Mytilus edulis: one gene and its partner. The protein of the gene in region 1 interacts with the protein of each later gene in a pairwise test. Links are inferred from orthologs where the notes say so. Each region holds a gene or a part of one and is shown on either strand. Other genes may lie near its edges.

Region 1 (7,845 bases):
TTCCTTGCAGATAACGGAAACCTTCAAGACACTTACAAGTCAGGAATACTGACGAATAAGATAGTTGTTGTACATTCGTATGGTGTGTAGCAGTGTTTGAGAATTTGATTTTGCTATTTGACTATGGACTTCAATTTCCAATTTTCCTCGAGCAGAGATCAGTTTTTATGTTATTTTAACTTTTACAAAGCTGTGCATAAATGAGTAATAATGAAAGACCTGACAAATCAAAGCAATGATTTGAGTTGCTAGAACTATATAAATTAAATACATTACTTGTACATGATGATTTACATGTACGGTATATATATATATTTTGAAAAATCTTCATCATGTTCTTGTACTTACGTTGTCGTGTTTAAAGTGACAAAGCATTCTCAGTTCACGGAATACTCTCTTGGAGGAGACTAAATTCTGGAACACACTTGGCATTTTCTTCAGGGCCACTCGCTTTCCATCTCTTGGGTCCGTCACTGACCTATAAATAGATTAAACTTTCAATTATGGTGGACCAAATTATAAAATTTATGAATGGTTTCAAATTTGTGATCTTTCATAGCTGACTTTGTTGTGCATGTTTTGCTCGTTTTGGAAGAGATTATAATTATTTACATCCACATCATACGAACTTATGAATAGTAGACTGAAAGTCACCAGCAATCATACAATTATTTTTTTCATACAAACTTTATGTGTCATAATTTTCAGGAATTGCAAAGCGAATTATAAATCTTTTGTATGAGATGAAGAATAAATGTCAAAAAGACAGCAACCATACAACACAGTCATGTGAATCAATTCTGTACAACAAACAACCAACTGTTTATACTTTTTTCACCCGTATCAACTACAAATTTCAATATTGATATCGATGTCTTTTAAAATCAAAACTATATAAAAAGTATCTATCTTTTTTAAGTACATTTTGAGATCATGTTAAAATTTGACATGAAATTTTTGTGGTCATTTACCTCGGTGTCATTAACTTCTATGAATAAAATGTAAATGACTTTTTTGACCTGTTAAAAGTTGTCAATGATCACTATGGACAGTCACCTAGAACTAATGTCTTTTCATCACAAGTTCAACATTTTAACATCAAGGTTTCTGTGCATTTAAATTGTCTTTACGTATACAACGCAACAAAATTCAGATATAAAATATTCTTCTTGTAACATGTAATATATCAATTTAAGACTTAAGATAGGGTTAAGAGTTGACTTGAAAACTTAATTGATTAATCGTAAAATCAGATTGCATGTTCTGATTTGATTTTTGAATAAAAATTTCATAAACAAATAATGTAGGAATGTGGTACATGTACATGTAGCACAATTTTCTTGAGTAATACTTGTGCATGTCACACATAATAAACATGTAGTATTACCCATAACTATACAAATGCATCAATATATACTTACAAATGGGTATTTTATATGTAGTTTAAGACAATTTCCAATTTACAGAAAGGAAGTTGGCATGAGGTCTCGTTTAAAAAAGATTTTCGTTTTACTTTTTCAAGTATTGTATCTGACAGCTGGGGTTGTTAAAAATAATGCTTCAAATTAACATATTCTTTTAAAACGATCGTTTTTTTGTTTGCTTCTTTTTGGATTGTATATAGTTTAAAGTGACCACATTCATGACAATGTATCTTGAATACCCTTTTGTTTATTTTCATTTGTTTACATTGAACATGTTGAACATCCTATAAAATATAAGTATATGTTTAACTTCTGTGTGAGCTGGATGGGATTTTTTTCTTTTTAAAACTGATAGATATATAAGGTTAACAATTGGACCACAACTGTGAACTGAAACCTGGAATTTTTTTTTCCAAGATGTTTTGATATTTTTTTTGTGAAACTATTATTGTTTACAAAAAGCTAAAAGTTGACTGTGGATCATACTTAACTATTTTTAATGACCAACATATCTTTAATTCATAACAAAAACAAATTCTCTAAGTTCATGTCTACTAATCAAATATAAAGTCACATCAAATGAAATGAATTCCAAAATATATTTCACCTGTCCGTACAAGATAATTTCATATAAATTTTAATTTGTATCTTATACCGTTTTTCTATTAAGTTTAATTGATAACAATTATCTATCAATCCAGTTAAATTATGAATGGAATGCTTTATTTGTAAAAAGGTAAATTGTGTTCACATTGTCACGAACAATCAGCTGATTTTGTGACAATGTCACAAAGAAATTACTTCAAGAACAAAGAAGTTGAAACGAAGATGAGGCAATGAACGGTACCCGTTTCTTTTTTATTTTGACTAATTGAATAATATGAAAATGAACATTTTATTATTATTTCTTTGTTTAAAATATTCTATGAACAGACTTGCACGAGACGAACAAAGAAATATACACTCACCATACAACACCAAAAGCCCCATAACCGATTGGCCGGTCGGGTTGTACGTCTTGAGGAGGAACAACCTGAAAGTATGGGACAGCTACTGCTGCTGTGAGGATTGCATGCTGAGATGGAGCGGGTGGTGCCCCTCCTTGAAAAGCCATGATATGCCTCGCGTGTCTATGTCCAACCACTGCCATTACAACCCCACGAACACTGCCTGCACGAAAAAAACGCTTGGAATGCTCAAATTTCACTGTTGCATTTCTAAGTCCGATACATCCACACTCACTAATGACTCTCCGAATTAACTGGAGAGTTTGGTGTTGAAATCTTATATAAATTTACCAAAACATAAAGATAATTTCGTGTTATTTGGTGACAGGGTTCTGACTCACACGCGAGTACGGCACACAAAGAAATCACGTGACAACGCTTCAATCTTTCCCAAAATGCAATGTTGTCTGTTGTAGGTCACGAAAAGAAAAGTAAAATTTAATTAATCTTTTTCAATTATCCACTAGCGAAACATCTAGGAATCAATGAAAAATGTTAAGATAGTTGTTATCAAAATCTCAAAATAATACAATCCATTTAAGACTCATACTTTCTTAAAATGTCCGGTAACTGAAGAAGGACTTCAACAATATGTCAAACCGAAAGCACGTGTTTGTGAAAGACACGCCCACTAATTATTTCTTTTTACGGAAGTGATCATCATGACGACAAAGGACTGATGTAGACTGTGGAAGCCTTGTTTTCTTTATTCATGTTTTGATCACGTCATAAAAATCTCATCCTACGAATATATATACACGTAATCCGAATAAGGATAATTTCAATTACACAAATGTTGAAAAACACTGGGAAAATAACAATGTTCTTATGACATGGAGTATAATTGGTTAATTAGGATTTACTTATTGATAATTATCTGTTTATTGTTTAATTGGACAATTGTTCATGTATTTGTCGAATTGAACTATCATGAAGCTCAATTGATGGATTTGTACAAATTAAAATATTTAATAAAACTTTATTGAATGGAAAAAAAAGACAAAAATTAATAAAGACAAAATTATTATTTTTTTTGATACATTTATGTTTGCAAAAAATCCATCCTTTGAAAAATTAATGAAAGAATAATTTCTAAACTTTGTAGAATTTTTTATTTTTCTAATAAAAAAAATTATAAAACTGAACTTCAAGGAGATTAAAATTGTTTTTCAATAGTATGATTGAGAAATTAAATATGAACTTAATTCATTTTTTTAAGATAGCCTTAAGCACTATGATTTTTTTCTTACATTCCAATTGTTGTTTGAACTTCAAAAGAGGTAGAAAAGGAAGGAAAAATTCTTCATTTTTAGACTTTTAAACAGACTTACAAAATTTGAGATAGGGGGGGAGGGGGTAGGGCTTTGGCATAAGTTATTATTAAACTATATTAAATACATGGGAATGTGTAAATAAAAACAAAATATATGTGTATATAAATATCAAGTCAGTAATCATAATTATTTTCCAGGTGATGGGTCATGCATGTAAGGGAAAACATCCTCCTTTTTTTCATGATTTTTAACGAAGTTTTTTTGGGGCAGAATTAACAGGGATTGGGAAAAATAAAAAAAAAAATGTTCAGATGTAAGATGTGATACTAGTCTATGAATTTCAAGAATGATTTTACGAAAATTGTAAATTTATTATTTTTTTTATTATTTTTTTCATGTTGCAAATTGTATCCATTTTGAAAAGTTGTTGAATTATCTTGTGGAAAGATGGTTACAACTAATGAACTTATAGATCCATGTAGATGTGGAATAATTGATCAGATAAAATTAGATTTCATTGATATTTTTAGATTGATTTAAAGATAGGGCATCTACTGAGTGATCAATGTAGCATCATTATATATAACAGATCATTGATTCTTGGAGAGCCTTATGTAATGTGGAGTTTAGACAGAAGATTATTGCCTTAAAACTGGTATGTATAGTTTTAATTGTAAGTGGAAGATATGTAACACAAATTTAACATTTAATGTGTGTACAACAGACATGTAGGTGGCTACTCAGAAAAGCGGGGAAATCAGAAATCACCAAAGAGGACCAATACATACAGTTCAAAGCTAAGTGAACAGCACTAGCAAGTAGCAAATGAATATCATGTCAAGCACTAAAAAAACGTTTTGTAAGAATTGGACCTGTAGATATTGTTCCATTTTCGCGTTTTTAAACTCTGATAATCTATCAGCATCATGATAATCACACTGACACACACAGTCACGCAAGAGGAACCAGTTTATTGACCACTACTGTAATACTTTTAATTAGAGAAGGAAAGAAAATACTAGTTCAGTCACAAATAGATATAGAAAGATGTGGTGTGAGTGCCAATGAGACAACTCTCCATCCAAATAACAATTTCAAAAAAGTAAACCATTATAGGTCAATATATGACCTAAATGTTCACTTTGACTTTTTTCACACACGTCACTGGGTATATATCTTAGATTGAAATCAATGGAAGAGAAACTACTCAAAAATTACAAACGATCGTAGGTAAAATATGGATCTGATTCCCACAGAGTATATACTTCTCACAACAGCTGACTATCAAAAGATAAATAAAAAATACAATTAGAACAATACAAGAAAAGCACTGAGGTCTAGGATAAAAGTATGATAGATATCAAAAACTCAACAACAAAAAATGCTTTAATAAAGAAAAACACACTTTAATGTTAAATAATACTGTTATCACATAATACTTGCAATAACTGAAAGCAAGCTTATAAGAACTTAAACCTGTTAATGTAAAACCATTCTATAGATCACTTTCTCACAGATGTGAAAGCATGCCATCCTAATTTTTTTTATAGATTGCTACTAAGAAAAAAACATTCTCAGAGATTTTGGGTTGACCTTTACCTAATATTTATGTTGGAGCATTTGATGTGACTTGTTCACTAAAGCTATGTTGCAGGGTGTTTCAAGGCAAGATGTTTCTGGGAGGAGTGTCTCCAATTACCTATGTCATCAATCAATAGAACAACACTTTTTTTTTTTACAAATACATGTATTGATCTAAAGACCGTATCACATTTATAACAGTTGTGAGAGACTTAAATATATATATGCAGCCTTCTGAAGCCTGCTCCTGGGTGTAATATTTTCTTGCTGCATTTAGACCCATTGTTGGCCATGAGCTGTTTTCTGTTGTCATCTCTTTCACACATTCCCCCTTTTCCATTCTCTATTCTATTTGTTTATAAAATAGTATTTTCTACAGAAGAAAACAAATCTTAACTGCAGTTGAAATTGATAAATAGAATGATATTCATCTTAAATTTATTTTTCTAAAATAAGGGAGACAATCTATATTGATCAAAAATCAAAATTGTTAAACATGATTTGTCTCCCATTGTATTGTAAAAATATATGAAATAGTTTAGATTAATAAAACAATTTATAGACATGTCCTTAAAATATGACAATGTATTTTTATAACTTACAATGTTTCATCCTGACTTTTAATGTAATATTTGTAATAATAACAGCCATCTCAAAATACTCAGAACTAAGGTTACTAAAATTTGATTGGATGTTTTTAATTTAATTGAAAAAGATTGAGATTGTAATGAGTGAGATATGTCATTGTCATACATCTGTGTCCATACACAAGATTTGTTCAATTATTCACTTATCAACATAAAAATGAAAGAAAACATATTTTTTAAAATTAGAGAAATGTGCTTTTATAGCATTTTAGTTATTTAAGATTATAAATATGTTTGGATTGTTAGCTCACCTGGCCAGAAGGGCCAAGTGAGCTTTTCCCATCACTTTGCGTCCCGCGTCCCACGTCGTTAACTTTTACAAAAATCTTCTCCTCTGAAACTACTGGGCCAAATTATTCCAAACTTGGCCACAATCATCACATGCATCAGTGGGGTATCTAGTTTAAAAATGTGTGGCATGACCCATGACAACCGAAACCACAATTTTCTTTCTTTGATTTGTGTTTACAAATATAAACCCTATTGTGGACAGTGTGTTACTTGACAGTTTTTCTATACCCCTTCTAAAGGTATTTCTCCATGTTTTATGCCTCAAATAGCAAGTATAGGGGGGGGGGGGATGAAATTACACTAAAAGAATTGGGTCATGATTGTTAATGAAGACAGAATTATGTTTTGTATTATAATAACCATCTTTATGGATTGTAAAAACAAATAATACGTAATGTCTATCTATATTGTATAATGTTATCTATATCAAAGTATTTTTAAAACATTATTTAAAGATTTAGATTATGTAATCCTAAAGAATTATATAAATACAATGTTATTTTCTTTAATTTTCTAGGCTGTAATTTAAAGGATTATGCAATCGATATTTTTACTTTATCAAGAGGGGAGGAGGGGCGCTGACTGACCTAAAGGGGGGCCTCTCTAGTCATGCTTCCATGATTCCCTATATAATCAACAAAATTTTCCCCACGAATGGGGGGGGGGGGCCTGGATTCGCCTATCGATGTGGTATGATTGCCTATGAGACAACTCTCCACAAAAGACCAAAATAACACATAAATCAACAACTATAGGTCACCGTAGGGCTTTTAACAATGAGCAAAGCCCATACCTTATATAAGTCGGCTATAAAAGGTCCCAAAATGACAATGTTAAACAATTCAAACGAGAAAACTAACGGCCTAATTTATGTATGTCTCTTGAAAATATAGAATAAGTGCAACACAGAGCACATTGGAACTCTGCTCTTTTATTTTGTTTTATAGAGCATTCAAATAAATCATTGTATTAATGAGCTAAAACAAATAATTAGTCACATTTGACAATATGTTTATAGTTAACAAATAATCGTTCAACATTATTTAACAATTTCGAAAAATTAAACTATGACTTATACTGGAGAAACATCTTAAGTTGTATCTCATAAAGTGCAGATTTTCACAAGACTGTTCTTTCAAGGGAGATTTTCAAATTAAAAGAGAACTGACCTCTGGATCCAGTGTCTCTCTGTTTTCAAATATCGATGTACATTTTATTTCATCTGTTTCTTATTTTGATGAAATTTAAATATACATTTGAAGGCAATATGATTGAGTATACTTTGCCCTATAAATAGTGAAATTAAATGATGCATTTATAATGAGTTTTAATATAAATGTTTAAAGCATGGGGCATCAACTGTTAAGTAAATGTATTTCTGGTTATATATCATTGAAAACCAAATACCATGTATATATTTTTATTAATGGATTTGATGGGTAGAGGTAAACTACATATTCAAGGGAAAGTTGCCACAATTTGCAGAATACTTTTTGTTTTCTGTTTTTAGTGTTGTTTTACATAGAAATACATTTGGTGTAGTCATGGTAGTCATGGCTTTTGAAGTGGAAAGTGAAAGAAATGCAACGATTTACCTATTAGTACATATAAAACAACAAGA
Region 2 (7,993 bases), on another chromosome or scaffold:
ATATGTATGTTCCGCTGTATGCGAAAATATCTGATCTTCTAACCAATCAATTACCAAGACGAGCAAAATTTCTGCACCTATATTGTATTTTCATTATTTTTAAGCTAATATATTAGCTTTGAGAACCTAAAATTGATAAAACTGTAACTGTAATAATGTCAGCTGCTGTGCAAAGTGTTTTTCTTTTGAGATACGATATTTTCACACAACAAAATGTCTCACCAATCCGACTACACTATTTCGTCACATGTCAGAATTCGGGTTAATGATTGGTTAGAAGATCAGATATTCTCGCATACAGTGGAACATACATATTTAATTCTAAATCTTCGATAAAAAGATTTCCGCAAAAAATTGAGATACGAGGTTTTTGCATAACAGCGACGATATGTAGTTTGTCTTTGTTAATCTTTACAATGTACTGATAATTATTGGAGTAAACTTTAAAAGAAATATTGCTCTCAATTTATTTAAATATGTTTAAAAAGGGCTTTTCAGTGGCGGATGGATCCAGAACTTTTCATAAGCGGGGGCCTGCTCCAGTCATGCTTCAGTGATTCCCTATATAATCAAATATCAAATTTTTTCCATGAAAGCCCCCCCCTCCTGAATCTGCCTATGCTATTATTTTCTATTTCAAAGTCATAGTGCATACACACAATACATATGAAACATAATCTTTAATTTGATACATAAATCAAGACCAATTGGACATCCACCAACCACCATACATCTTATATAAAAACACAAATTACAGCTTGGTTTAATCAAATGGTAAATTTCCTCAGACTGTTTCAGATTCTTGAAATAAATACTGGAAAACAATACTCATATTAAGGCAGAGCAAAAATGGCTTGTTTCAGCAATATTTATTTTGTTTGTTTTTTTTATTGTTTGGTTATGTCTTTAAAATGTAATACAAAAAGCTTTAATCACAAACATTCACATATAGTGTTAGTTGATTTGAGTTGCTGGAAACTACTTCTATGAAATTACGTCATGTCAAACAGGTGGATACAGAATTTTACTGTGGTTTTCAAATGCAATGTGAAAACAATGCAAAAAATAAGAATACAATTTCATTTTAAATAATTTCTGAGAAGTAGTTTCACAACAATAAAACACATTTTACAACAACATTTTTATTCATATTTAGATTCACACAAACACGACAAATTACCTTCAACTATTTGATTTTCTGAAATATTTTTAAAATTTAAGATTTGTTTTTACTTCTTTACCAAGAGACAATCATGGTGAAAAGTTTCAATCTTGTTCATTGAACTGAATGTTACAGTTTCTTCTTTTGTTGTGCTCTTTCATCACTGTCCCAGTTTAGAGGGGGGCTAAGCACCAACAGATATGTTCAACCCCTCCACATTCTTTATGTCCCTGTCCAAAGAACCTGTAGTTTAGTGGCAGTCTTCACGATGAACTGCTAGATCTACAGGCCCAGAGCTCAATTTTTGAAAATTTTTAGTTAGATTCTGTTGGCCTGAGGATATGATTTTTACAGGCCCGAGAGCAATTTTACAAGCCTAGGCTGCCTGGGTTGCCACTCAGCATGAAGACTGTAGTGGTGGTCATTGATTCATGTCTGTCATATTTGTTTTTCATAAATTGTTTTGTTATAAATAGGCCATTACTTTTCTCAATTGAATTGTTTCATATTTTTTCATTTCAGGTCCTTTTATAGCAGACTTTACAATATGGTTTTTTTCAATGTTATAGGCTGTATGGTAGCCTTTAATTGGTTACATCCACTTCATTTGAACTTCGGTGCATATATGTCTCATACCATACATGTACATCATCTCCTAAACTTTTTTACAAATAAAACCTTTTTGTTGTTCTTATGATAAGTGTTTTCTCAGAAAATTTAATAAAAGAAATTAAGCAAGTGAATAACTTAAATTTAACATCGATGGATTTTTTTTTATCTTTAATTGCTTCACTGCACATGCTGTAGGCTATATATTTCTTTTTTCATTTTAATACTTGGCTCTAAATTTTTAAGCTATCATTTTTATGTTAACCTTAATGTATAAAAACAAAGTAAAACATAAATCCAATTGATGGTTATAGAGTATAATGGGCCAAGTAAATGACAGTGGACAAAATGAATTATAAAAAAAGTGAAAACTTTCATCAAATTAAAACTTATATGTGTTGTATTGAAAAACAATTGATGCAGGCAATACTGTAAACCAACTTATTTTCGCGACTTTCGCGAGTAAAAAAATAACGCGAATTTAAATCGTAGTGAATATGGAAAGCTTGGATAATTCCTTTTTAAACTTCATCAAGTCAATTAGAAAATCGCGAAATTAAATAGCTGCGAAGTGGTCATGAAAGGGTAAAACGCGAAAAAAAGTATCCGCGAAAATAAGTTGGTTTACAGTAGTCTCAAAAGTTTCTTAAATTCAATGGTATGGTTGAAACATTTCACTAATTTAATAGTTGACAATATATTTCTACAAATACAAAGTCTTTGTGTAAGATCTAGATGTTTAAGTTTGAATATATTTCAGTTAAGAAGTTGAATTAAATATAAAATGTGATTTTAAAATGATAAACAAATGAAGTTAATACATGTAATATTAGCTGAGGAAATGTAGTAGTCATTTTAATTGATAATATATTGTGCTTAAGAGTTTTATAGATTTTAAATTAAAAGAGTTATCAATTATGTGAGCAGTATAACAGAACTAATTGCTGCTACAATAAAAAACACAATGTGATTCATTACAATATTATAAGTTATGGTAATTATAACACCACGCAAATGAGATGTGAAGATCATTGATGTTAAAATGTACACAGAGTTCTGTAAACTAACAGTTTATTATCACAACTCCCTTGAATTTAAATATAAATATACTTAATAATTAAGGGTTTTACAATTTGTTTATTTCTTATAAAATAGTTAATAAGTTACATTAGCATAATAGACGTAATTTGATTCCTCTTTTGCTCAGAAAAAGTCACCTTATGTTTTGTGTACATTAAATAGAAGAACTCATTTAAAAATAGGAGCTATAAATTGAATGGTCTTTTGATGTCTCTAATTCTTTTTAGAAACATTTTGCTTTGTATCAACATGATCAATATTTTAAGAAATAAAAAGTAAAATCACAAAAATAATGAACTCTGAGGAAAATTCAAAATGGAAAGTCCCTAATCCTTAAATCAAACGGCAAAATCAAATGATAAAACACATCAAACAAATGGACAACAACTGTCATATTTCTGACTTTTTTTACACAAGATTGGTCGATTATTTTTAAGCATGACATGTGAAAGTCAAATAATTAAGTGTAAAAACAGGAAACAAAGTCCAGCATGACAAAGGAAATTACATTTATGAGCTAGAAAGGGGACCCCCTATTAAAGAAGAAAATAATAGAAAAAAAAACTTGTATTTTAAATTTAAAAAAAATTCCCGCAAAAATATCATTCTATTTATTTACTCAAATTTGTTTTAAAAAATCAGACTTTTTTATTTTCCTGCATCTGCGCAGAAATCTACTTCCTTCTTTCGGTCTTGTTTGTCATGAGAATATATATACATGTATATAGTAAAATATAGGGTAACACGAATGACCGAATAACACTGTTATTATCGGAATAACACTTGTAATGACTGAATAACACTTGAAATTTTAATATTAGCACATATTGGTGACTTTTAAACATTGATTATTAAATAATAATATATTATCTATGTATTTTATATGGGGACGAAGTCCCCAATTACGGTAGAAAAATCAATAAAAAAAAAAAAAAAAAAAAATCGAGAAAATGTCCTGAATTTTTCATTCTACTAATGAACTCAAAATCGTTAACTTTTTTTTCAGATCTACATCCGTTTCCGGTCTTGTTTGCATGAGACTTTGAAAAAAATGTATATTTACATGTATCATAAAATTGAGAATGGAAATGGGGAATGTGTCAAAGAGACAACAACCCGACCAAATAAAAAACAACAGCAGAGGGTCACCAACAGGTCTTCAATGTAGCGAGAAATTCCCGCACCCGGAGGCGTCCTTCAACATATCAACAAATATAGGAAGGAATTTAACACTTAATCATTTTTAATAATTGTTTGATATCAAAAAGACGTTACCTTTTATTATAACAGCGTTTGTTTGTTTACATTGAATATGACGTCATAACTTAAATAACGTCACAACTAAATACCTACCAACAGAACCAATATCGGAAACGTTACTGTATTTCCATTTCTTTTATCAACATGTTTGAATTAAAAAAAATAATAATACAGACTTCGTCCCCATTCACCATGTTCACAGGTAATGCCTGCCTCATATTAACTTAAAAATGATTTACAGAAAGCAGTTAAGTTCATAAAGATCATTTAAAAATGTGTATGTACATCGAACATGGGGACCACAAAAATCACAATGGATGTACACACTAAATTATATATCTATAAGTCTAGTAAAATATTACATACAGACTTCAACCTTTTATAGGTTATGCCTGCCTCATATTATGGCAACTAGCAGGATACAGGATTGTCATAAAACAATATAAGGGCGATCTTGGATCAGTCTCCGATCCCCCTCCCCTTTTCCCCAATGTCAATGAGACCCCCATTATCAATTTATGGTCATTTTACATTTCAATTTTTAAAAACAATAAAAAAAAAAAATTCTTTTCCTATGGTCAATGTTATACCTGCAGGCATGTCTGTGTCAGGTAATCTGTTGAATAGTAAATTATAAAATCTGTGAACTAATAGATGGAGGCAGACATTTGTAAACAAAACACCATGGAAATGAACTCACGCGAGATATTAAACTTAAAATTAGTTTCGGATATATATGCAAACTCACAGAAAAATATAATAATTTCTCATTTTAAACCCTTAATTTCATTCTAAATTTATAATTGATCTATTTGAAAACAAAACGGAAACAAATAATCAAATAATATGTACGAAACTACCTGTGACATTGCTGCTGACATTGGACAACAAGTTGCAGACAACAAATTTCAAAATGTTTCGTCCAACACGACTTGCACGTGTATTGCTTAGACTACAAAGAAAACACAGCAACAATCTAAGAACACTTGCTACCAAAAATAATCAGTTTTATTTAAAATCAAGGTACAGACAAGAAATGTTTCACATTCGGCTTTCATGATGAAATCTGATGATCTGTTATATTATTTTATTATCTGTATGAGTACGTTGTCGATACCAATACTGGCTTTCATATAACGGTATGAGAGCGCTGCCGATTTATTGACGGGGCGTGAGAGCAGATTTAAAGTTTCTACGCTTGATGTGCGCACTACAGTGTCGTCAAAAGCTGGTTCCACTAGAATAATTATTTATCTTCTCTTGAAAAGGATTTTGACTCTTATGACAATTGTATAAACTTGTTTACGGTTGTACACAAATTTGTCTGTCATTATTAAAAAAAATACATACAAGGTCATGAAGGTCCTGCATAAAAGAGCATCACATTGACACAATAACATTTACAATGCTTATATCCTGTCTGACCTGGCCCCTTGAACTTTTGATGCATACAACAATCACTTTTCCATTGTGTCGTCAGATATTTTGTATTATGACCTCAAAATTTAAAGGAAACCCGTGTGATATCCAGTAATGGTGGACAAATAGTGATAAGGTGTATATTGACATTGACACAGCGTCAGCGTGATCAGTAACATATTTATTGACAAGATATTAATAAAATGTCTTCAAACTAGTTTTAAAGTGATGCCAGTGTATCAAACTTGTAACTTATCTCTGAACATGCAAAATGGTACAGAATGCAAAAAATAAAAAAATGGTGTTGAAATTGAATAACATTATAAATACTTTCCACAAATATTAATCAGATTTTTTGGTCATTTTATATGACAAAATATATCAACTTTATGAAAAAAAACTTGTATTTATTTACGATTAGAATTAGGTAGATTCATCATGTTCATTGAGCAGTTCAGATACATTTGTAGTTTTCAGTTAGACACATACATGTATATATAATCCATAAATCTCGTTAAGTCTCATGGAGTCAGAGATTTCATCAATATTTTATTCTAAAAAGCCTATTTTATTCATTTCCTGTTAAATATACTGTTCCCAGGCGTGATGGATATTTTAAAACCTGATCATGATTTATGAAACAAGAACATATGACCATAAAAGACTTAATTGCACTGTTAGCTATATATATAGATGGTTAGTATTTAGCTGAATTTATTTTTCTCCAAACGATGCAAGATATTTCTGAGAATTACCTTTAGACCTTGAGTAAAAATCACTTTACAGACCATTTCATTGAGTGTGTAGATAGAGGTAATATCTTTGGTTTGCTTGCTTGCTGAACCATGAAGTCATTATTAAAACAATATCCAGGCTGACTGGTTGGGATGTCTCTTTGGCACATTACCCATTTCCATTCTCAATTTTATTTGAATTAGTCTCAGTTTACTTTTTAATGAAATCTTACTATACAAATCCTTGATGAAATGCAGGACAATTAACTATTATGAGAAATTAAGATAGTGTTTCCTACAGGTGGTTTTGGTGTGTAATGGCGCCCTGCCGCGATTTCTCGACGCCCTGCCCTTTTTGGGAAAAAAATTTGGCGCCCTGCCCTAGTTTTGTCGAAATTCCTGACGCCATACCTTTACGGTACTGAAAGACATATTTTATGAATACCGCTCGAGTTATTTCCCTTCAAACGTAAACAAAAGTTCACTAGGACGCCATTTTGTAATCGATTTCGTAATCAGCTGATTAGCAAACTGCAATAGATTGAAAAGTGAATACAGATACTAATCACGCGTCCTGATTGTATCCCCCAAGTCCCAGAAACATCGTTTTGCCTAGAAGATTATGATATGACATTGTTTTGACAAGAAACTAAACCGGAAAACGATTTCAAAACATCGATTGCTTAGATCAATATTTTTGACAGCTGATAGATATCTAATTTACATAATATACATTGTTTGCATGGTTGAACAAGCCAATGAATGTCGATCATGAGACATTTGTCAAAGTGAAAAGTAAAAATTCTTTGCAAACTATTTTTAAATACAAATGCTTGACTGTACCTTAAATGAAATGAATAAAAATCCAAACTAAATTATTAAAAGCAGAATAATCCAGAAAATAAATGAATTCCTTGATGAAATGTTGTCTTTTGTTTACAAACATGTCACATGATCATTTTAGGCGGGAAAAATACTTTGGAAAACACCTAAGTAACAGACAACTATTTCTGGCTATTTATAGACATTTAAAATAAACAGCTGATATGGTAGTGCCATGAAAGTAGTAAAACTTGGTGTATCTATATTAATTTAATTTGGAAATTATTTTTGTTTATGTTACCAGATGTAACTGGAACTACACACTATTTTATTTTCGCATAAACAAAAATAATTGAAGGAAAATTCTTGCTGATGATAAACCAACATAAAAAAATAATTTGCTTCTTCATATTTTTACTTTTTCCATATTTTTTGTCTGTTTTGTAGCAACACAACCAAAGATGTGCAGCAGCTTTTACAGGTTCACAGATTGGTCCAGAACTACCGATGTTATAGTTCAGGTATGATGTTCTTACATTTTATAGCAAATACACTATCATTTATTTTTTACTTGGTGCATAAATGTGTGTTTTCTTCTTGGTTCATATAAGTGTTTTCAATATAACATGTTAGTTGAAATTTTTCTCTGACACATTTTTTGATACTGAAAACAATGATTAAACTTATGGCAACTAGTGGCAGAAAGCTTTTCTATTTTGAAAATGTATCAATCTTGATTTTTTCTTCTATAGCACCTACAATCATGACAATGTATCAGTTAAAATTGATTGTCATGATTATGTGACATAATGTGTCACTTTGCTTTCCTTCAAATTTACATGTTTTGAATGGTTGAATTTGTGGAAAGTTATAATAAAATAAACAGAAAATGTCTATGGATAGTGAT

The links.
Region 2: the proteins of serine/threonine-protein kinase NLK-like (region 1) and dihydrolipoyllysine-residue acetyltransferase component of pyruvate dehydrogenase complex-like interact in a two-hybrid assay, tested with the Caenorhabditis elegans proteins (2 studies listed by BioGRID, with this or other methods). The link is inferred for Mytilus edulis from reciprocal best matches to the Caenorhabditis elegans genes lit-1 and dlat-1.

Annotation. Positions count from the first base shown.
Region 1 is NC_092349.1:90,583,225-90,591,069, reverse strand, and holds the start of serine/threonine-protein kinase NLK-like, read right to left. Parts: upstream 3,112-7,845; 5' UTR 2,575-3,111; coding exon 2,393-2,574; intron 479-2,392; coding exon 349-478; intron 1-348. UniProt on the Caenorhabditis elegans protein: Has a role in the Wnt signaling pathway controlling the asymmetry of cell divisions during embryogenesis. Operates in the AB and EMS cell lineages influencing cell specification.
Region 2 is NC_092355.1:10,360,384-10,368,376, reverse strand, and holds the start of dihydrolipoyllysine-residue acetyltransferase component of pyruvate dehydrogenase complex-like, read left to right. Parts: upstream 1-4,964; 5' UTR 4,965-5,024; coding exon 5,025-5,134; intron 5,135-7,533; coding exon 7,534-7,607; intron 7,608-7,993. Other genes in the region: MORN repeat-containing protein 2-like, read right to left, coding at 1,181-1,198, 4,702-4,711. UniProt on the Caenorhabditis elegans protein: The pyruvate dehydrogenase complex catalyzes the overall conversion of pyruvate to acetyl-CoA and CO(2).